Linked DNA regions of Arabidopsis thaliana. The protein of the gene in region 1 interacts with the protein of each later gene in a pairwise test. Each region holds a gene or a part of one and is shown in the gene's direction. Other genes may lie near its edges. The genes, in order: AT5G15802, AT5G32440, UNE12 and AT5G42220.

Evidence for each region.
Region 2: the proteins of AT5G15802 (region 1) and AT5G32440 interact in a two-hybrid assay, tested with the Arabidopsis thaliana proteins (one large-scale study listed by BioGRID).
Region 3: the proteins of AT5G15802 (region 1) and UNE12 interact in a two-hybrid assay, tested with the Arabidopsis thaliana proteins (one large-scale study listed by BioGRID).
Region 4: the proteins of AT5G15802 (region 1) and AT5G42220 interact in a two-hybrid assay, tested with the Arabidopsis thaliana proteins (one large-scale study listed by BioGRID).

What each region holds. Positions count from the first base shown.
Region 1 is NC_003076.8:5,155,725-5,159,455, reverse strand, and holds AT5G15802 (chaperone), read left to right. Parts: upstream 1-1,910; 5' UTR 1,911-1,935; coding exon 1,936-2,048; intron 2,049-2,691; coding exon 2,692-2,878; 3' UTR 2,879-3,212; downstream 3,213-3,731. Other genes in the region: AT5G15810 (tRNA (guanine(26)-N(2))-dimethyltransferase), read right to left, coding at 51-190, 264-385, 493-580, 695-976, 1,269-1,364.
Region 2 is NC_003076.8:12,075,106-12,079,126, forward strand, and holds AT5G32440 (Ubiquitin system component Cue protein), read left to right. Parts: upstream 1-1,787; 5' UTR 1,788-1,908; coding exon 1,909-2,094; intron 2,095-2,366; coding exon 2,367-2,529; intron 2,530-2,640; coding exon 2,641-2,828; intron 2,829-2,928; coding exon 2,929-3,102; intron 3,103-3,204; coding exon 3,205-3,291; 3' UTR 3,292-3,498; downstream 3,499-4,021.
Region 3 is NC_003075.7:1,136,937-1,142,177, reverse strand, and holds UNE12 (basic helix-loop-helix (bHLH) DNA-binding superfamily protein), read left to right. Parts: upstream 1-1,637; 5' UTR 1,638-1,871; coding exon 1,872-2,234; intron 2,235-2,638; coding exon 2,639-2,761; intron 2,762-2,925; coding exon 2,926-2,991; intron 2,992-3,077; coding exon 3,078-3,143; intron 3,144-3,817; coding exon 3,818-3,898; intron 3,899-3,976; coding exon 3,977-4,210; 3' UTR 4,211-4,691; downstream 4,692-5,241. UniProt on the Arabidopsis thaliana protein: Required for ovule fertilization.
Region 4 is NC_003076.8:16,870,282-16,878,283, forward strand, and holds the start of AT5G42220 (Ubiquitin-like superfamily protein), read left to right. Parts: upstream 1-1,956; 5' UTR 1,957-2,213; intron 2,214-2,675; 5' UTR 2,676-2,680; coding exon 2,681-2,809; intron 2,810-2,903; coding exon 2,904-3,021; intron 3,022-3,325; coding exon 3,326-3,424; intron 3,425-3,516; coding exon 3,517-3,632; intron 3,633-3,726; coding exon 3,727-3,813; intron 3,814-3,988; coding exon 3,989-4,183; intron 4,184-4,270; coding exon 4,271-4,340; intron 4,341-4,412; coding exon 4,413-4,567; intron 4,568-4,698; coding exon 4,699-4,863; intron 4,864-4,940; coding exon 4,941-5,012; intron 5,013-5,083; coding exon 5,084-5,201; intron 5,202-5,278; coding exon 5,279-5,521; intron 5,522-5,594; coding exon 5,595-5,743; intron 5,744-5,826; coding exon 5,827-6,018; intron 6,019-6,139; coding exon 6,140-6,670; intron 6,671-6,894; coding exon 6,895-7,032; intron 7,033-7,111; coding exon 7,112-7,174; 3' UTR 7,175-7,196; exon of another isoform or gene 7,197-7,451; intron 7,452-7,820; and 1 more. Other genes in the region: AT5G42210 (Major facilitator superfamily protein), read left to right, coding at 219-287.

The sequences.
Region 1 (3,731 bases):
ATCAAAGATATTTGTTTTCAGAATAAGGTAATGAAGGAGTAAAATCTCACTTGGAATAGCAGACCTCGCCGTTAGCTCCACATAACACTGCCATGTCAGTTGCTGTACACATCAGCAAACCACCATCGGCAACTGATTGAACAGCTGAGTCAAGGAAAATAGACGGCGCACCATATGGGTCAAGATCAACCTAAGACATCACTGAACCAAGTTAGTTATGTGATCAATAAGATGAAAAGATTTTGCAAAAATTGGATACTTACCACATCAAAATCTTTTGGGTGGCTGAGCATGTGAACACGAGCATCAGTAAGATGTGACTCCACCTTTGAAGTAGACATCAAACCATTGAACTTAATGTTTCTCTGGCAGGCTTCAACCGATGCTTTAATAGGAAAATGGAAATACTATATTATTCTGGGATGTTAGGACGAAAGAAAAGTAGAGTCTCGAACCTCTTCACAAGCACAAACGTTGAGAAGGAAAAAATACCTGGGTCATTATCTAAAGCCACAACTTGACCAATTCCTTCAACTTCACGAGCATACCTCAAAGCCCGTAGCCCTGAAGCTGACAGGGCCTATAAAATAAATAACACAAGAAAAAGTTATCAACTAGAAACGCATAATAAGCAACGAAATAAGAAAACAAAAGTACAGCTATTACAGTCATAAAGGAAAGAATATAGGTAAACCTCAAGCACTCTTGGTGGTTTGAGTTCCCTTCGTGCAGATTCATATGCGGTCTTAGCAGCTTCCTTTGGTCCATCCTGAGTTGTTACTTCGTGTTCTCCATTGGTTTTTCCATTATCGTCACCGTTTTCAGTAGGAGTTTCTTCCTTGGAAGTTTCAGAGACATCCTTCTCAACCACTTTCCCAGATGATCTAGCTCTTTTAGATAACATAGCCTCATGCTCTTGCTTGCGTTTGATTATAAATGCCCTTAGCACAGCAATAGACATGTCCCTATTGTTAACCTAACCATAAAACAACACGCAATTAGTTTAGCTCACACTTATATCCATATGGATTCACACAAGAGAACATAATTGCTAAGAAGGATTTGGGATCAGTTGCCTTCAAATTTCTCACTAACACAAGCATGACACTAATCCATAACAAGAAAAAAACACTAAATTTGAAATCTTAAACCAAGATAAAATGCTCAAAACTAATACTTGATCAATCCTAAGATTGCCCTTGACATAATTCAATCAATTATCACCAAAGAGGAAGAACCTTTGCAGAAAATCAAATCATATAGCAAACCTGAGCTTTGTTGAAGAAGACTTGGTTCTTCTTGTGCATAAGAACCTCAGCTTCTCCTTCCTTAATGACAGTATAATCATTGAGATCCGTTTCCATTGCTGATCTCAGATTCTTCTCTTTAGGAGCAGAGGATTCAGAAATTGAATTACCAACACGAATCTGAAACCCGAATGGCAAATCACAAAGCTTGAATCTATAGATATGTGAATAAAGATGTCGAAATTTAGCGACTGGTTTGAGTGAAGCTTGAATAAACCCTATCGCTTCAAGCTTTGTTGCAGTTTCAGAGAGACACAAAGGTGAAACTCTAAAGAGGCCGTACGGGTTTGGAAGCGAGTAACGGAGTATACTAAGTTGTTTAAACCCTACAAATCGTTTGGAGAAATTCATTTATTTAACTTTGGGATACAAATTGGTGAAATCAAAAGATACGGGGTCAAAATTGAAATTATTAAAAGAAGGAAAAACAAAAAAGTGGCCTATACAGGGATCGAACCTGTGACCTTCGCGTTATTAGCACGACGCTCTAACCAACTGAGCTAATAGGCCATATCTGATAAGCTCTAGATATGTAAAATATTTACCCGTTTGAAATAAATTCAGGATATCATTATCATCAAGTTAAGAAGAAGGAACGAGAGAAGAGAAGAGAAAAAGGAAGACGACGATGCAGAGTTTAACGTCAAACGAAGTTGCGGGTTTGGCAGTTGGGGCTCTGCTTCTTGGTGCCACCATCGCTGCTCCTAAAGTTGATGCTTTTATCGCTGCTTCTCAGAGAAGGTAATAAAGCTTTTCAAGTTCATTACATAAGATTTCTGAAATTCCACAAAATCCAACTTTTTGCTCAATCTTTCATGTTCTGAGTGGAACCCATGTCGTGTTATATCCTGTTTTGGATTTAAACCGTGTGGATTTGTTTTGTTGTTATGTGATAATGATGATGCTTGTAGTAGCTGCTTAGAATTGCAATGAGCTGCTTGATTTTAATCCAAGAGGGTTTGATTTAAACTATTTTTTCATCCTTAAGAGTTTCTTTGTGATCTGTAGTTTGGAAGGATAGATTCTGAATGAAAAAAAAAATCCATTGTTGAGTTATGTTTTTAGTTTCAATCTCCAATGGATTACATTTTTTTTCTGAGTTCACACCATGTGAAAGTAATGGTTTTCCTGAAATTCTGTATTCCTCACTGAAAGATCTTTTGATTTTTGAAATATTCAGGTATTGAATCATTCTTGATCTTGATTATGGATTCTGAAAATCTGACCTTTGTAATGAGACATGATCTTAAGACTGTTCATTGTGGTTGCTGACGGCTATAAGAAATGTTCTAGAGTGTTGTATGTCCATGGCTGAATGACATTAGACTTGTTTTTGAATCTATAACTTGCCATCATCATATGTTTCTAAACACAAGTTTTGCAGATCTCTTGGCATGTGTCGAAAATGTGGAGATCTTAAGAATGTAGCTTGTGGCCGTTGCAAAGGAACAGGAACAATCAAATCAGGAGGATTCTTTGGTTTCAGTGACTCATCAAACACAAGATCAGTGGCTTGCGATAATTGCCAAGCCAAAGGTTGTTTCCCTTGCCCTGAATGCTCAAAATCTTGACCATTTTCTCGGTATTTTATAGTTGTTTCATCTTCTTGACACTATGATAAGTGTAATCGGTCCATTGGTAATGGTAATGTTAAAGTTGAAGAATGTCTTGTTTATTCGAGAAGTCTCTTATTCCAATTCTTGATCTGTTACTGCAAATAAGGCACTTTGCTTAGATGTACCGGATGCTTATGAATTACTGAGTAGGTTAACTTTAACCGGGTTTTATCGTCATTAAACCGGAGAAATTCATCTAGTAACCAAATGCTCTGCTGGACCTTTCTTTCAGTGAGCAACTATAGGTGGGTTTTTGGCAGTTGATGTACCATAATTGGTGCAAACACACATTTTTCTTGAATTTTTGTTTAACTTAAATAAAGTTACTTCGTTTTCTTGTTTTTTTTAATATGAATAAAAAAAATCAACCATAACTGATAGTAGGTTGGTTATCTTTATCAAAACAAATAAAGTTAATAGGCAGAAAAATAATTGTCTATAGAATCAATTATGAAAATGCCATTTTTTGGGATGGCATTTGTGGATTTTGCCCTTTTTTTAATAGTTTGTGAATTTTGCCATTTTTCAGGTTACGTGAATGAATATACGTTTTATTCATTATGTTTGGGTTTACTCGGTTGTGGTTGTTCTTAGGGTTTAGTATTTTGTGTAAACTACGTATTTTTACCAAAAAAAGTCCGAAATCCATATATTTTTAAATCTTAGAAAATGGCTTATCCGTAAGATTTTAGTAAAAATGGCAATTTCAAAAGATCTCTATAAAAAATGGCAAAATCAACAATAATCCCTTGTCTATATGGTGGTATTTCTGCTAAAAGTGACTTATGGGTAGATTTTTTAGCTTCAT
Region 2 (4,021 bases), 6.9 Mb from region 1:
GCAAAACCATCAAACCTTCTCCGACCGAATCCAACTTGCCTTCTACTTCTAGAGATTCAAAATCCAAAATGGTTGGGCAAGAGGGTGAGCAAAATACAAAACAAAGGAAGAGCAAATGACTTGAAGAAGAAAGTAGAGTGAAAATTTAGATTTAGAGATGGACACGGGAAGAAATTGAGGGGTTGAAGGTGGATTGAGAGAGACGTAGCTTTAGATTTGGGTTTTTTCTGTCTTATTCGGTTTTATGAATAAATTATGATGATTAAATTTTCAGATCTGAGATAGATTGCTCTTAAGTAAAATATTTCTTCTAATTATTGGCGGAATAAGGGATTTTAGCTTCCCGCTTAATGATTTTCTATCTTAACGTTGTTTTAGTGCTATTATATAGTAATCAAATTAAAAAACTATCTTTCATAACAGTTACGAAAAATGATTATCCTCGTCTGCTATCAATGTGGATATTTCTGGTAGTTTATAATTAACTATACCAACAGATTAACTCTACCACACTATGACAGACTTATTTCCATTTTTCTGGCAATTAACTATGTTTTTCTGAGTAATTCTGCTGCCACTACAAATTACTCGACTTTATAAGTCAATTACATTTCTCTATCTTTTAACTTTGCCACCACGTTACAGTATATATTCTCTAATGCTATGTGAGTAAACGGAGAATCCTAATATGTCATGTAACTTGTTTATCAACTTAACTCTGCCACCACTATAAATAACTCAATCACACAACTCTACTGAATATATCTCTACCACGTAACTCAATTAATTTATTAACTTTACCATGTTTCATTAACCCTACCGTCACTACAGCGATAGACTTATGTTATGGTGTGCTTTTTCGCGGGCGAAATACAGTTTCTCTCACTGACATGACATCATCTTTTAAGGAAGATTTGCAAAAATATCATTTTTCTACTATCCTTTTGCTACAATACGCTTTTTTTGTTGACCATTTTTAAACATATATCTTTTCTTGAACAAAAAAAAAACAAATTACCCATCATCTAATGATCAACAATTCGTACAACACATGACAGTAATAAACAGACTTTTATGTGTTGTTTGAGTAACTCACCCAAAAAAATATCGTAGACCAAACAACTTATTTATTTTAATTTAAGTATAATGATTTGTTTTATTTTGAATTGATTTTATTAATTATTAGAGATGTGTTCTTTTTAGAGTCGTGTGACTCTCCCTTTGACTCTTTTAGAAAACAACTAAATATTATAATTATGAGTAATTAAAACGGGATGATTGTAAAATTCCCAAATTCTCAATTAAAAACAATATTTTTTTGGTTAATTTTTTTCTTTTCTAGAGTCTTCTCCGCAAATCTCGTTAATGGTTTTTAAACCGGTGACAGTAGCTGCTTAAAAATAATGTAAGGATGGTGTCGCTATTAATTCCGACAACTCTAGAATTTTGATATTCAAGCCGCATCAGCGACAATAATGTAAGAATTTCGATTTTGGGAATCTAGGGTTTTCGATTAAGAGACTTTTTAACGATATGCCTTAACTGACTTAATCAACACGAATTCGTGATCAAATCGAAAGTCAACATAAAATTGAGGATTGAAATCACTAAATCAAAACTTATGCTTTAAACCAATAAAAACTAATGATTTAGATGACATTTTTAATTTTTTCCTTTTTTTTAACCATTTTTCAAAATCTTTAAATTAAAAAACTTCTCTATCAATCTCCAGTTTTACCGAATTGAAAAAAATACAATCTATAAATTTCTTCTTAAACCAATTACCCATTTCAAGGGTCAGAGTTCCTAAACATGTTGGATCCATTTTGTTGCGAACATCTTTAAGATCCGATAAAAGACTTGTTTGAGAGATCTCAAGGAAGAAGAAGAAGGGGGGAAGCAGATAACATGTCTGCGATTGTTTGCGGGAAGAGATCTCTGTTCGAGGACTTAGCCGCCGCTTCTCCTCCCGTCTCCAAGAAACTCCGTTGCTTTTCTTCATCTTCTTCGTCTCGTTTTTCTCCTCCGATTCCTCCTTCTTCCTCACTTCTTCTCGATCACCTCGCCGCGATTTTCCCCGATATGGATAAGCAGGTCCTTCATTTTTCCGATCTCCATCTTTTTTTTCCTGTTTCGATTCTGGATCATTTTATTGATTGATTGTTCTTTGATTAGGTTTTTCGATTAGATTGAAATGAAATTATGCAATTGTGTTTATCAGTAATGAGCATATCGATAGATGTTTTTGGTGATTTATTGGACCTATTAGAGGAGCATATGTTTCTTCTGATTAGGCTTCTTTATGTCTATGGATGTCTGTGATGGTTTATTGGTGTTATAAAGTTGTTGACATTTGTGTGTGGTAGATTCTTGAGAGGGCAATCGAGGAATGTGGAGATGACCTTGATTCAGCCATTAGATGTTTGAATCAGCTTCGTTTAGAATCTGCCAATAAGAATTCTGATTCTGCTACAAACCAATCTCCTGTTGTAATCCAGGAACCAAATGTTGAACCTCAACAGCAAGGTAGTTTTGTGTCCTACTGATCTCTAAACAGTTTACTAGTTTCAGTGTATTCTGCATAAGTCGTAGACTCGCTCTACAAAGTTTTAATTATGAAACGGGTTTTGGTATTTGTAGGATCAGCCAAGGAGGAACCAAATGTCTTGAACTTGGATGGTACAGAGTGGGTTGAGCTTTTTGTTAGGGAAATGATGAATGCTTCTGACATGAAAGACGCCAAAGCCCGTGCTGCAAGAGCATTGGAAGCTTTGGAGAAGTCAATTAATGCACGTACTGGTACTGACGCAATGCAAAATCTCCAACAGGTGTCTCATCTATCTTTCTTTGTTTCTTTCTTCACTCTTTGTTGATAAGAAGTTTTGTTGCCAGAGATGTATATCTATCTATGAACATCCGATTTTTCAGGAAAACATGATGCTGAAGCAGCAATTAGAAGCTATTGTACAGGAAAACAGTTTACTGAAACGAGCGGTAGTGACACAGCAGAAGCGGCAAAGAGAATCGGAAGACCAAAGTCAGGAATTGCAGCATCTGAGGCAGCTAGTCACTCAATACCAGGAACAGTTGAGAACTTTAGAGGTCTGTATTAAATGTCTTCACCTTATCTTATACAATTTTGTTGTCTTTTTGTCGATATGATTAGATCTAACTTCTAAGTTTTGTTTTGATTGCTCCTTGCAGGTGAATAACTATGCTCTGACGCTTCATCTGAAACAAGCTCAGCAAAACAGTTCCATCCCGGGGCGGTACCATCCAGACGTCTTCTAATACTTTGTGAGGCCCTCGTATCATTTTGTTTCCAGTGTATTTTTCTCTGTTGGTTTGTGACTATTTATATATATTCGGGGAATCAAAACTGTGTTCTTTTGTTGTTGTTGTTGTTGTTATTGTTGTATATATTCTCTTTCGAGTTCAATGATGGATTCCACAGATATAAGACTTATTTCAATCAGTTAACAAACAGCGAATAGAGTTTGTTATGTTGCTAGTAGCCTGGTAATACTAGCGTCAATGAGAGATGTTGACGCCGGTCGTTCATCATCGGCTGACTGTTTTTGTCTCGGCCATAGCCACTTTGCTCTGTTGGAGTCTGGCGGTCACAAGAACTTACGAACAGACCCATAAAGACTTGAGTATTGTTAGAAAACAATCACAACAGTTCTTGAAACAAAACTTTGATATCGAACCGAATTGGTATTGAATTATTTTGGTTCATGGTCGGTTATTCTAGACTAGGTGTACCGATCGGCATATGATTTAGATGAGCTCGGTTTGAAAATTTAATCGAACATATTGGTCTGTTATTCTATCCACGGAGAGGGTGATTTAGAAATCCCCACAGTTCAAACCATGCCTGCAATATTTACCCAACTTGAAATCTTTGAAATCGAACCGAACCGGTGTTTAGTTACTTTGGTTCATGGTCGGTTTTTCTAGGTGAACCGATAGGCATATGTTTTAAATGTGCTCGGTTTGAAAATTTAATCGAACCAATTGG
Region 3 (5,241 bases), on another chromosome or scaffold:
AAATCTATTTCCCGCCAAAAAAAAAAAATTGGCGGGAAAAATATGTTTGAAAACAAATTTTGGCGGGAAATTTATTTTGGAATATTTTTGGCGAAAAAATATTAATTTTTCATTTTGTTAACCTAAAACAATTTCCAAATAAGGGTAAAATGGTCATTAAAAATTTAAAGAGGGTAGAAATAAAATTGGATAAAACAAAAGGGTAAAGTTGAAAAAGGGCATCATGAAAAGGGCATTAGAAAAAAAAATTCTTAAAGGGATAATAATTAATATATTAAACTATTAAGTTGATTAACTGATTTTTTTTGTGTTAATATATTATCAAAACAAAACTTGTTTTTTTTTTTTTTTTTTTTTCATCCAAAACAAAACTTGTTTTATTTATTGATTTTTGTAAATAACTGTTTTTCTTAGCTTTTATTACTTCTTATGTTGGATGTTCGTGTTTGGTCTGAGAATTACCTCCTTAAGCACAAGTTGTTCCTTTATAAATGAGCTCCATTTAGGCATAATGATGTGAACCCTTTAGTTTTTGTTGGTGTAGACTCAAATTAGAGAGAGGAGTCGCTGAGATTGATAAGCTAGCAAACAGAATCTTCCATATCGACAAGCTTGGGAATCAACCTGAATTGTGATAGAAGAGAGAAAACATTTTCTAGGAAACTAAATTGTCTCTTTTGAATTTGAAATACTTTATTTGGAGCTTGTTTGCTTAGCGCATATCTCGAATTTGATTATATCTCGCAAGATAATTATGTGACGTTTTTGAATTATGTAAACATCTCAATAAGTGATATAGGAAAATTTAACTTACAAACAGAAAAATAAGCGATTTTTTCAATACATTCTAATAGTTGAATACATTAATTAGAATTAGGAGGGATACAATAATAGATAACTACAATTCATTCGTCATGTTCTAAAAATAGAGAGCAATAAGTACGACGGACAGTACCGTCACTACTTGGCGTCATGGTAGATAGGTAGTGGATCTGCTAGATATATGAGAACGGAAAGAACCAGAAGCTATTAGAGGCGGGAGGAGATATGTGGGGATGATTTCAGTGCAATTCCACGACGCACCATTTCCACTTTCGTAACACCTAAACGACCGCTTCGGCCGTATAAAATCGCAAATGTTTGGTCTCAGTGTATTTTTCCAATTTCCAAATACATCAATTCAAATTATATAATATCTAGTGGCAATTATAAGTATATCATATATTTTCAAAATTAATTAAAAAGATTACTAAATTATGTTTGACTACAACTATTATAATAGTTAAAAACATAAACAAAAACAAAGAAACTATTTTAATAAAAAAATCAAGTAAACATTAAAACATAAGCAAAAAATAATGTTAAAGAAATTATTAATTATTAATTTACTAATAATTAATACCTCTATAAATTAATTGTTAGAGGTTTAACGTAATTTATAAGGAAAACTAAAGAAGACTTTAACCCATAAAGAAAAAAACAAAGACTGAATTGAAGGCCCATATTTAGAAGAAGAGAAAGAAGACCCAAATATGATATAAAATCCAGCCCATTTATATATTTTTATTTTGTTTCTGGAAGGAAAATAAGAAAATGGCAAAAACGAAATAATCTGAAAAAGTAAGGTCTTTTACCAAAAAGGATATTTTTTTTATAAACAGAGCATAAAGTTTTCACTTTTCTTCTGCTCCTTTCTCGTCTCTGTCTTCTTCGTCCTCATTCGTTTTAAAGCATCAAAATTTCATCAACCCAAAATAGATTAAAAAAATCTGTAGCTTTCGCATGTAAATCTCTCTTTGAAGGTTCCTAACTCGTTAATCGTAACTCACAGTGACTCGTTCGAGTCAAAGTCTCTGTCTTTAGCTCAAACCATGGCTAGTAACAACCCTCACGACAACCTTTCTGACCAAACTCCTTCTGATGATTTCTTCGAGCAAATCCTCGGCCTTCCTAACTTCTCAGCCTCTTCTGCCGCCGGTTTATCTGGAGTTGACGGAGGATTAGGTGGTGGAGCACCGCCTATGATGCTGCAGTTGGGTTCCGGAGAAGAAGGAAGTCACATGGGTGGCTTAGGAGGAAGTGGACCAACTGGGTTTCACAATCAGATGTTTCCTTTGGGGTTAAGTCTTGATCAAGGGAAAGGACCTGGGTTTCTTAGACCTGAAGGAGGACATGGAAGTGGGAAAAGATTCTCAGATGATGTTGTTGATAATCGATGTTCTTCTATGAAACCTGTAAGTTCTGTTCTTGCTTTGGTGTTTGATTATTAGAAATGGGAAGAAATCGAATTTGAGGGTTTTGAAGAGAACATTTTTGGTAACTTTTGTTTTAGTTTTTGATTTGTGGTAAGTAACTTTAACAAAGTTGATGATTTGCGTTATGTGCTTTATTTTGGCTCAGACTTGTTGAATCTAATCGATTTTGGTTTGTTTAGTAAACTAAGGTTAGCTCTTGTTACTCTATGAGCAACTTCTCACTAGTTCATGTAGCTGCGTGGCTTATCTTGCCTTCTAAGTTGGTCAAATGAGTAATCTTAAGGGTCTAACTTAAATTATTCTCTTACAACTAATGGAGTCAAATCCTTGTGCAAATGGTTTATTTTCGTTTGGTCTTATTTCTTCTGTGTGTTGTCTGGAAGGTTTTCCACGGGCAGCCTATGCAACAGCCACCTCCATCGGCCCCACATCAGCCTACTTCAATCCGTCCCAGGGTTCGAGCTAGGCGTGGTCAGGCTACTGATCCACATAGCATCGCTGAGCGGGTATATTTCAGATTCTCTTTTGTATTTCCCTGTGATATACTATGTTGGTGGCGAGTTGGTTGTAGTTGAAAATATGTTTCGGATATAAAAAAATGTTAACATTGTGTAATGATCTCTTGATTTTATGGAGGGATTACCTAAAAGTTTGTTTTACTTTACCACAGCTACGTAGAGAAAGAATAGCAGAACGGATCAGGGCGCTGCAGGAACTTGTACCTACTGTGAACAAGGTCTGTACCTTTCACCCTAACCCTCACCTGTATATAATTTCTCTAGAAAGTTTGACACTTTCTGTTTCTCCCGTCTTCGTGTGCAGACCGATAGAGCTGCTATGATCGATGAGATTGTCGATTATGTAAAGTTTCTCAGGCTCCAAGTCAAGGTATATTCTTCTCTCTTCTGCAGTTTTAAACTCGAACTCTCTTTCTTGTGAATTATCTTATTACTCCCTATGCAATATGTTTAATCTGTTTGTTCATAAGATTAGAGATCTAAAGATCATGTCTTTCAAATTCTCTGGATGGATTTTTGGTGTTAATTCTGGTCCCACCATTACCTACCCTTCAACCAAATTTCAATCTGATTAGATCAGTTATTTAATGTGGGAAAGAATAAACAAGTCCAAAATGCTTTTGTTTTCTTTGGCATTTAGTCTCTTTTCACTTTTTGTTTTGTCATAGGGAGCCTAATCACAGTTTATGATTATAATACCATATTCAACAATAATTACAATCATCATGTTCACATTATAATATAGTAATCTGGTAGATCATCAAATGCTTCTTATATCAAAATGCAGTCGGTTACTTAAAGCTCTCGCAAGCGAAAAAAGGAAGTCTCTTTACTTTATAAGATAATGGAGACACTAAAGAAACAGAATGCAATGATGGATTTCTGATAAGATAATACATCTTTTGTTTTAAAAATAGAAAATGTGTTTCTTGTGAAATCTTCCATGCTCATCTAAAAGTAAAAGCTTTTTTTATATATATAATTTTCATGGGGTGAAGCTTATCACTTTCAATGATATCTGTTTCTCTTTGTCAACTTTGGTAGGTTTTGAGCATGAGCCGACTTGGTGGAGCCGGTGCGGTTGCTCCACTTGTTACTGATATGCCTCTTTCATCATCAGTTGAGGTAAAAACTTTTTAAGAACAAAAAGTAAAAACTTTAGTAATGGGGTTTTGATTCAGATTTTGCTTAAAATGTCAATAGGATGAAACGGGTGAGGGTGGAAGGACTCCGCAACCAGCGTGGGAGAAATGGTCTAACGATGGGACTGAACGTCAAGTGGCTAAACTGATGGAAGAGAACGTTGGAGCCGCGATGCAGCTTCTTCAATCAAAGGCTCTTTGTATGATGCCAATCTCATTGGCAATGGCAATTTACCATTCTCAACCTCCGGATACATCTTCAGTGGTCAAGCCTGAGAACAATCCTCCACAGTAGGATTTCTGCAATAAAGAGTTTGTACAGCTAATCCAACTGTCCAACATGGGTTTTTCTTCTGCTCTAATGACTCTGGTTTCTTCTCTCCTCTCTCACCCACTTGAAAGGTAAAAAAGTGAAAAAGGCTTTGTAGATGGAATCAATGTAGGATTTGCAGTAGAGGGAAAAAAAATGTCAAAAAGCTCAATTGATCAAGTATTATTGTAATCATTGTACCTTTATTTTAGGTGGACTTTGATGAAAGCAACTTTTTGTTTTCAAGACTTTAGTGGGAGGTTGAGGAAGGAGCTTGAAGGGTGTTATTTATTAGTAGTAGTAGTAGTGGGAAGTTGTGGGACCTTGTTGAGTTGTGTTCAAATTGAAGAAAAAACAAGTATTTGTAATTTGTCACCCCTTGTATTATTATTTATTTTGTATGACTTTGGAGTAGTATAATTAATTATCAAATAATATTATTAGTTTGATCTAGTAACCATCCTTTGTTTGATAACACTAGAAACATAAAGCAAATATTTTAGGAGAAAGTACCATGAATTGTGCTTCTTTTTTTTAGTGGTACGTGTACAATTTTAACTTCCAAATCTCAAATGCTAAGATATATACACTTTGGACAGAACATGTATCAATTTAAACTTGCATGTTTACATTTTGCATTGATTAGTGAAGACAAAATACAACTTTTATTAATATTGTTAGTTTTGGAAAAATATAGCCAAAAAAAAAACTCATCGAAGAATTAAAGTTATTGATATGATTATTTCATGTGATTCATTAAATCATTCTGCCAAATTTATTTTTTGAGTAAAGTTTGGAAAATCTTGTGTCTTTTGAAGTAACAGATAAAAGTTTTGTTTTTATTACAATTTCACATGAATCTTAGAGTGAGATAATAATAAACGAAGATGATTTGGCAATTTGTTTAAAATGGGTCTAAATTCCAAAACCAAGAAGACTACAAAGAGTATGCAAACTCAATTTGATGCGGTACAGGCGTCAAACATACATCGCTATAGCCTTTGCGTTATTGAACC
Region 4 (8,002 bases), about 12 Mb from region 1:
TTGTTGGTTGTGCAAAAAGGAAACTTTAAATCTTATCTAATTTCCCATGAAAAATCACTAACTCATTCAGTTCTTTTTTTTTTGGTTTAACATTTAGTTATATGACAATGTATGTGAAACATATAAACCTTTTAATTGATTCCTCAAAGTTATATGAGTTGTTCGATTACTAAGAAAAATAATATATATAATGTCCGTTACTTTGTTTTTCTTTGTAGACTATAGCTTTCATCCAAAGCCTGATGATCAGAGCAGCAACACCAATATCAGTTATGGGATCTCCATAACACAGTTTCCTCAAAACCATATGGATTTCGTAGTGAAAGATAATATACAGGTTTTAATTGCATTGGTCGAATCCTTGATGTTTTTTTTTAACCCATATTGTGTACGGGTTTATGATATCTAAAGTCAGCAAGACACCAATAGCTTGTATAGGTTAGTCAATAACTCCTAGGGGAAACACCATATTTAATGGCCGTTTCAGTTAATTTAGATATCTTCTTTCTTTTTTTGAGTTCAAAGTTAGTTTAGTTGTCTAAAGCAACAAAATAGCTCCAATATTTGTATCATTAAATTTATTTATATACATCATAATTATTTTTGTATATATAGACATAATTGAAACATGTTTTATTATAATCTATATATACATTTTTGCAGCCATTTTGTGAAATAAATCCTTTAGTTGTGACTTATTTACAATGGCTGCCACTGGATTTTAATGTTTGTTTTTGATAATTAAAAAGAAAATATTCGAATTAAATATTTGACATTTAACAATCTTCCCAAAATATCTCCACATTAACTACACGATTATTTACTAAAATAATACTTCCAAAATATTTAATATCATTTAATTACTACAAAATTATCATTTTTGATATTGATTTTCTCCATAACTATAACAATTCGATTATAATCATCAAAGCGCAGAGATATAATCTGATAGCATTTAATTACTACAAAATTACAAAATATTTAGACAATGATTCATAAACATATCATAAATAAGATCAACATTAATAAAATAAATAGTTTTTTTTTTACAGGACGGGTTTGACAGGACGATACTTAATAACATTTGTAAACTATAAAATAAAATTATTTTATAGATAGATACAATTTGTAAACTTTTATATATACTAACTTTAAAAAATAAATTGTTCCCGCGGTATACCACAGGTTAAAATCTAGTTGTTTTTGTATTTTAACTAATAATGTGGACTAAACTTTAGGTGGAATACCTTTAGTTAACGGATCCGCTTTCATGAAATTTCTACCTATATGCTTAACTGAAACCACATCATCTTGAATCCTTTCTCACACAATATGACACTCTATGTCTATATGCTTTGATTGTTCTACTTTTGTTGTTGTTTGCATATACACTGCCGCAAAATTGTCAGACTAAACTTTAAATGATCTTTCGACACATAACCAACATGTAGTGTTTTTCACAGACTGTTCAAACCTAATGAATATAGTGTTTTCCCTAACCTAATGGCCGGTGTATTCTACAATTTTGAAAGATTTGCCTGAGTGACAATAAAAAAATCTCAAGCTTGTTTCTATCTCTAATCTCTTATACTGCAAATGTTAGAACGAATACTTTGGCACGAAAAATTCGTACTGAATCGCTTCATATATGTAAACAATTTTTTCTAAAGTTGACTCATTTGAACATTAATATAATTTGATGACAAAAAATAATAAAATAATAACCATTATTAACGACAACAATAACATAGATTCGTTTCAGTTATATGTAAACCATAATCTTCATGATTAATCCAGTTATGTGTAAACTTAAATACTTAAATATTAGAAATCAAAATTACATAATAAAACAGAAAAAGAAGCACATGTTTAAAATTTATTTTAGATATGGTTAAAAAGGCCAGGCCCAGCTTTATATTATTAATAGAAGAGTCCACATTTAGAGCGGAGACTAGGCCTATATTCGCGGAAGCGTCAATTCAGGTTTTCAAAACGTCGTCGTTGTATCTTCCTCCTCTAGATTCTTCTTTTTCTTTTCAATTTCACCAAAATCCCGAGTTCCCGACACAATCGCCCTTGTTCTTCCCCTTTAACTCTGAACACATCAGGTTTGGTTTCGTGTTTCAACTTTGAGATACTTCTCTAGATTTCAATCGGAGAGTCTTTTGTTCCGCCAAAGTTTCAATTTTTCAATACCCCACGACGGCAAATAGGTTCGTTCTTCGTTGCCTTCATGGAATTTGATTGTTTTTTTCTTAAATCTTGATCCTTTTTTTCCGTATCTATAGGCTCTGTTTTTGCCTTAGCAGATTTGTTTTTGGGTTTGGACGGTGAAAGTTTTGATTTTTGAACAGTGATATTACAATGACTTGCATTTATTTGGGTCTGGGTCTTTTGTTTGTGGCTTTGGATGGTGAAAGTTTTTGATTTTTAGCATTTTTATTACAATGACTTGCATATATATAGGATTTGGTCTTTTGTTACAATGACTAGCATTTAGTTATGTCATTTGTTTGTGTCTCATTGTTGATTCTGTTTTGTATGATCAATATCTGGAAATGTGTGTGGTAAAGGTTTTGATTTGAGTACCCTAGAGATAATATTGTTTATTATGAGATCATTCTTTTGTAAGATGAATTTACAAGCTTTATGTTTTTTAAATTTTAATACTTTAGGGTTCATGGAAGATCAACCCATTAACCAGTGCTCTAGTAGCACCAATGCGTCGGAGAAAACTCCAGAATCAACCCTTGAGCTTAACATCAAAACGTTAGACTCGCGGACGTATACTTTCCAAGTGAACAAGAATGTAAGAAATCTTCTTCTTCTTCTGCTTCACCTGCATATTTGCTTAAGTTTAGTTTGCTTATATCTGATACTGCTTAGGGCTTGACTTGTTGCAGGAAACTGTTTTGCTATTCAAGGAGAAGATTGCTAGTGAGACAGGGGTGCCGGTTGGTCAGCAGCGGCTCATTTTCCGAGGACGGGTTTTGAAAGATGATCATCCTCTCTCGGAGTATCGTATCCTAGTGCTAGCGACTTTGTTAACTTGTTGATTTTATGTTATAGTGTAGCTGTTTGTTGCATTATGCCATGTGCCCTGTGTATAAAATGCATGTTAACCAAATCTGTCGGAAGTCTAGTTTTTGATTGATCAAGTGCATCTCTGCTTTTGTGAGTCTTACACCGTAGAGGAAGCTGTAATCCAGAAAGAGAACTATATATATATATATACCTTCGATAAGCTTAGTTTTAGTTTATGTCTGTCGTTTCCTTCCATCGCTTTTCTACTTTCAGTATAGTTGATAACTTGACATCGTCATAGATTTGGAAAATGGGCATACTTTACACTTGATTGTGAGGCAGCCAGCAGAATCAGCTCCTTCCTCTGGTACACCTTCACAAGGGGCAACTGCAAATGATGGTAATCAAGTTATTTTTTATCCCCTTTCTGAGTTTTAAAAGAGCTGTTAACACAACCATCATCTTATTTCAACTTGTTATTTAATTCAACAGGAAATAATACAAATGGTGGACCATCTCGAAATGGAAGACATGTCTCCCACAGCGTAGTTCTTGGGTCTTTTAATGTTGGAGATCAGACAGAAGGCATTGTTCCAGACCTCAGCCGGGTAATCCCCAAGGATTTGTGATATTGTTTGGCCTATGGGATGGTTTGATTAGTTAGGCTAACCTGCTTTTAATTTTGTGTTGCTAACTACTAAGGTCATTGGAGCAGTTCTAAATTCTTTTGGAGTTAGTGGACAGCTTCCTACAAATCACAGTACTAATGGCACGCAATCCTCTATGCCCGTGAGTTTTTTTCTCGTCACTCTCTATTTCGAATTTATTCCATATTAGTGCTTAGTCTACATTAAGGATTGTTGAGAATCAGGTGTTGTTACTATTTGATGTGTAAGGTTTCATATTGTCATCAACTATTGCCTGTTTCTAAACTCGATGTTGCATGCGCTTTTATTTTTCCTAGTCGAATCAGTCGTCTAATGCACCTCCTGGAAATACATCTGATGGAGAGCCTGGCATTGGTGGTCAAAGCCAAGCTACGGGTCATTCACAACCTAGGCAAGCATTTCCTGGTGTATCATTTCAAACATCGATGCCTCGTGTAGTTCAGATTCCTGTTACAGCAGCCACAACGATTCCTATCCCTTCATTCTTAACGGTAGTTCTTAGTCACGTAGTAGTATTTTGATCTTGAGACTAGAGCTTTAATCTTGTCATTTTACAATGTAACTCTCTAATTCTGCAGCCTATTCCGGATTCCTTAGACACTCTAATGGAGTTCATTAATCGGATGGAGCAGGCATTATCACAAAATGGTATTGTGATCTAAGTTTTATTGTCATATTGGATAGAGAACACATAAATAAGTTAATTGGATGTTCCTCCAGGCTATCAGCCAGATACCTCTTCTGCTGGATCCGGAGGGCGACCAAGGGAAGAGTTGCCTAGAAATAGACGAGGTGCAGCAACACCTGAAGCACTCTCTGTTGTCCTAAGGAATGCACAACATTTACTGAGTGGTCTCGGTGTCTCTTCTTTATCGGTAAACACCTTCTTCACACTGCTTATTAATTGATTCCATTCTTTCTCTTTACAAGAACTGTTATGTATATGGTTACCATGCATTGTCATCTAATTATGTGCTGTTTGTAATTTGCAAAAACATTGTTGTAGCATATTGCGGGACGTCTGGAGCAAGATGGTTCATCTTCAGATCCTACTCTAAGGTCACAAATCCAGACAGAGGCCGTGCAAGTAGGTCTTGCCATGCAACATTTAGGGGCCCTCCTACTGGAGCTTGGACGCACAATTTTGACATTGAGAATGGCACCGTCGCCGGTGCGTTTTGGGTCATTCCTTTCGTGCATTTTCCTATTCATTCTTGACATGCGGCTCATTAACACTTTGATCTACAGGAATTATCCTATGTGAATGCAGGGCCTGCTGTGTATATATCTCCATCAGGACCGAATCCTATTATGGTTCAGGTAAGCTTCTAGTCTCATCTTTTTTCTAAATTAATTTTCTACTTTTATGTAATTATTACTGTATTTTGCAGCCTTTTCCTCACCAAATCAGCCCTCTCTTTACTGGTGCTACTGTCTCATCAAATCCACTAACCGGACCTGTTGGTTTAGGAACTGCCCAAAGGCACATTAATATTCACATACATGCTGGTGGGTGAAGTTCACTTTTTTGCTATTGGACTTAGCTGCACAATTCTTCTCCATTAAAATTCATACTTAATTACCAGGCACATCAGGTTCACCTATGTTGTCATCAGTTGGGAACCAGCGAAGCAATGGAGAAGGAGGACAAGGAGACCGTGACAGCAATACAAGTTCAGTTCCTGCGGCTGTTCCATCACACTCTACCGGTGAGAACGTTTCTGCTGGGGTTCAACCTGGTTTGGGTGATGATGTTTCAGTTGCTCAAATCAATGCAAGGATAAGAGATATGGTAAACATTATGCAAGGAAGAGACCAGATTCCATCGGGTAGGTTTCCTGCTGACTAAAGTTTTACATTGTGGACGAAATGTTTTCAAGCTCTTCTTCACGTGTCAATCAGGAATAGAATCTCTCGAGAGGGATATGTCTACGGGCCATGGTGTTGCCACTGCTATGCCTGAGCAGCCTACCAACATTGCAACTACTTGCGCACCTGAGTCGTCTAGTGGCTCACTGCATGACTTACCATCTGAGAGGAGCAACTCAGTGGTATGTCTTCTCTGCAATCAGATGATTCTTTATTTTATGTTCACCAGGGTTAGCCTACCACTAATTTTTGTTTTTTCAACCAGTGTCAAAATGAAAAAGATCTTGGTGGAGATTTAGAGCATCCAGCCCGAGCAAAAGATACCTCTTGTACTACAGGACAATCATCAGCTCCGTCTGGAGATGCTACCGGTGATGCCAAAGAAACCAATAAGGCTACTCCAGAGGTAGCTACAGCTACACCACTTGGATTGGGGCTTGGCGGTTTAGACCGTAAGGTAATGAATCAGTTGAAAAATAAGCGTCAAGTTGCTGCTGCTTGTTTTTCATTGCATAGCATATCCACAAGTGTCATAGTTCCAAATGCTTACAGTCATAGTATGTTTTTTTTGGTTAAAGAAACGAAGCAAGCAGCCGAAGGTATCAGGTAAGACTGAAGATAGCGGGACTTCAGCTACACTTGAAGGTGTGCAACAAAGCAGTGGGACCAGTGGTCAGCAGCTTTTGCAATCTCTCTTTTCTGGTAGTTCTCGTTCAGATGAGACTGGTCTTAGACGCGGGCAAGGTTCAGATGATCGTGTAGATGTCTCAAGTGCAATGTCTCAGGTCCTGGAGAGCCCTGTATTGGATGGATTGCTAGCAGGGGTATCTCGACAAGCTGGTGTTGATTCACCAAATATGCTGAGAAATATGCTCCAGCAGTTTACCCAGAATCCACAGATCATGAACACAGTCCAACAGATTGCGCAACAGGTGGATGGGCAAGAGATAGAAAATATGATGTCAGGTGGAGCTCAAGGCGAGGGCGGCGGCTTTGATTTCTCTAGAATGGTCCAACAAATGATGCCTCTAGTCTCACGTGCTTTTAGCCAAGGAGGGCCATTGCCTCATCCCGCAACAATACAGCCTGATGATCGTCAACCTTCTCAGGTACATCTACGAGTGTTAGGTTTGGATTTCTTGCGTTTTTGATTTAGGAAAAAAATGTGGCTGAAGAAAAACTGATACTATTATCGACTGAGTAGGATTTTGTTGTTGTCTTTTTTTAGTTGTAGAAAAAGTAACACCATTCTTACCTAGGTATTACAATAAACGTCATTGTCTCTTGTTCTATCTCGTGTAATGAATGTTATTTTTCTACTTTTTCCAAATAGGTAAATGTTCAATCCATGGCTCAAATGATTGAGCACTCTGATCCACCAGAGGATGTCTTCCGTGCAATGGTCGAAAATGCTGCGATAAGCCAAGACGAACTAGTGAACGAGCTTTGCTGTGATGAAGCTCTTTCTCAAGTAAGCATCAAAACTGACTAGTTTGTTTGTTTAATAAAAATAAAGACTCCTTGATCAGACTTGTATTTGAGTGTTGCAGGAATATGCGGAGTTGCTAAGACGTGATATCGAAGGCCGGCTAAAAGATGATCAAGGTCTATAAGATATTTGGTTGAATTGGTTCTGTAAGTGTCATATCTTTGAAGTATCTTTGTTTATTTGCTGAGATCCCTCACTTATGTATTAAGAATTAGGGTTTGGGATGGTCTATACTCTGCTAAACATAAGCAAACGTAATTTATCTGGTCTCTAAAGGGCCGATTCAATTTGATATTTCCATCTTTAACCAGAGATTACTCATAACTCTCGACATTGACCAAATTACTTGGGAAAAAGGTGTCCCTTTATAACTGACAATTTTGGTTTTGATCGAAAATTTGGCTAAAGGGCTACACTAACGAGTGACTGTAGCAAATTATATATTTAGTTTAATTCCTTAACAAATAGGTAATAAAGATTGCACAATAAATATGGAATGTAAACTAATAAATAGTAGAATAATTCAGAAAAATGAACTGTCACGACAACCCCAATAATAAGATGTTATATATTATTTAATTTTTATAAAAAATTATATATTATAAAATTTACTATGAATTTTTAATATGTTTAAAATTACAAAGTTGTTGTGTTTGTTTTGTTGTACAAATTTATAATTTTGGATTATGACAAATTAATAATATTGTTTTATTTTATATTTAATTTCTAAAAGATTATTAAAATTTGTTTTATGGTTTTACGTATTCAAGGGTTGTGAACAATTGATCACCACCGGAAAAATTAAGGATGACGACAAAATTGAACTAAAACATCATGGGTTCAGAGATTTTCAAGATCAGCGAGCCATGACTTAGCGACATCGGAGATCATGAACATTCCTAAGACAAGCTGTCTTTTGTGATGAGTTTTGCAAATAATTGTTTCATCGCTA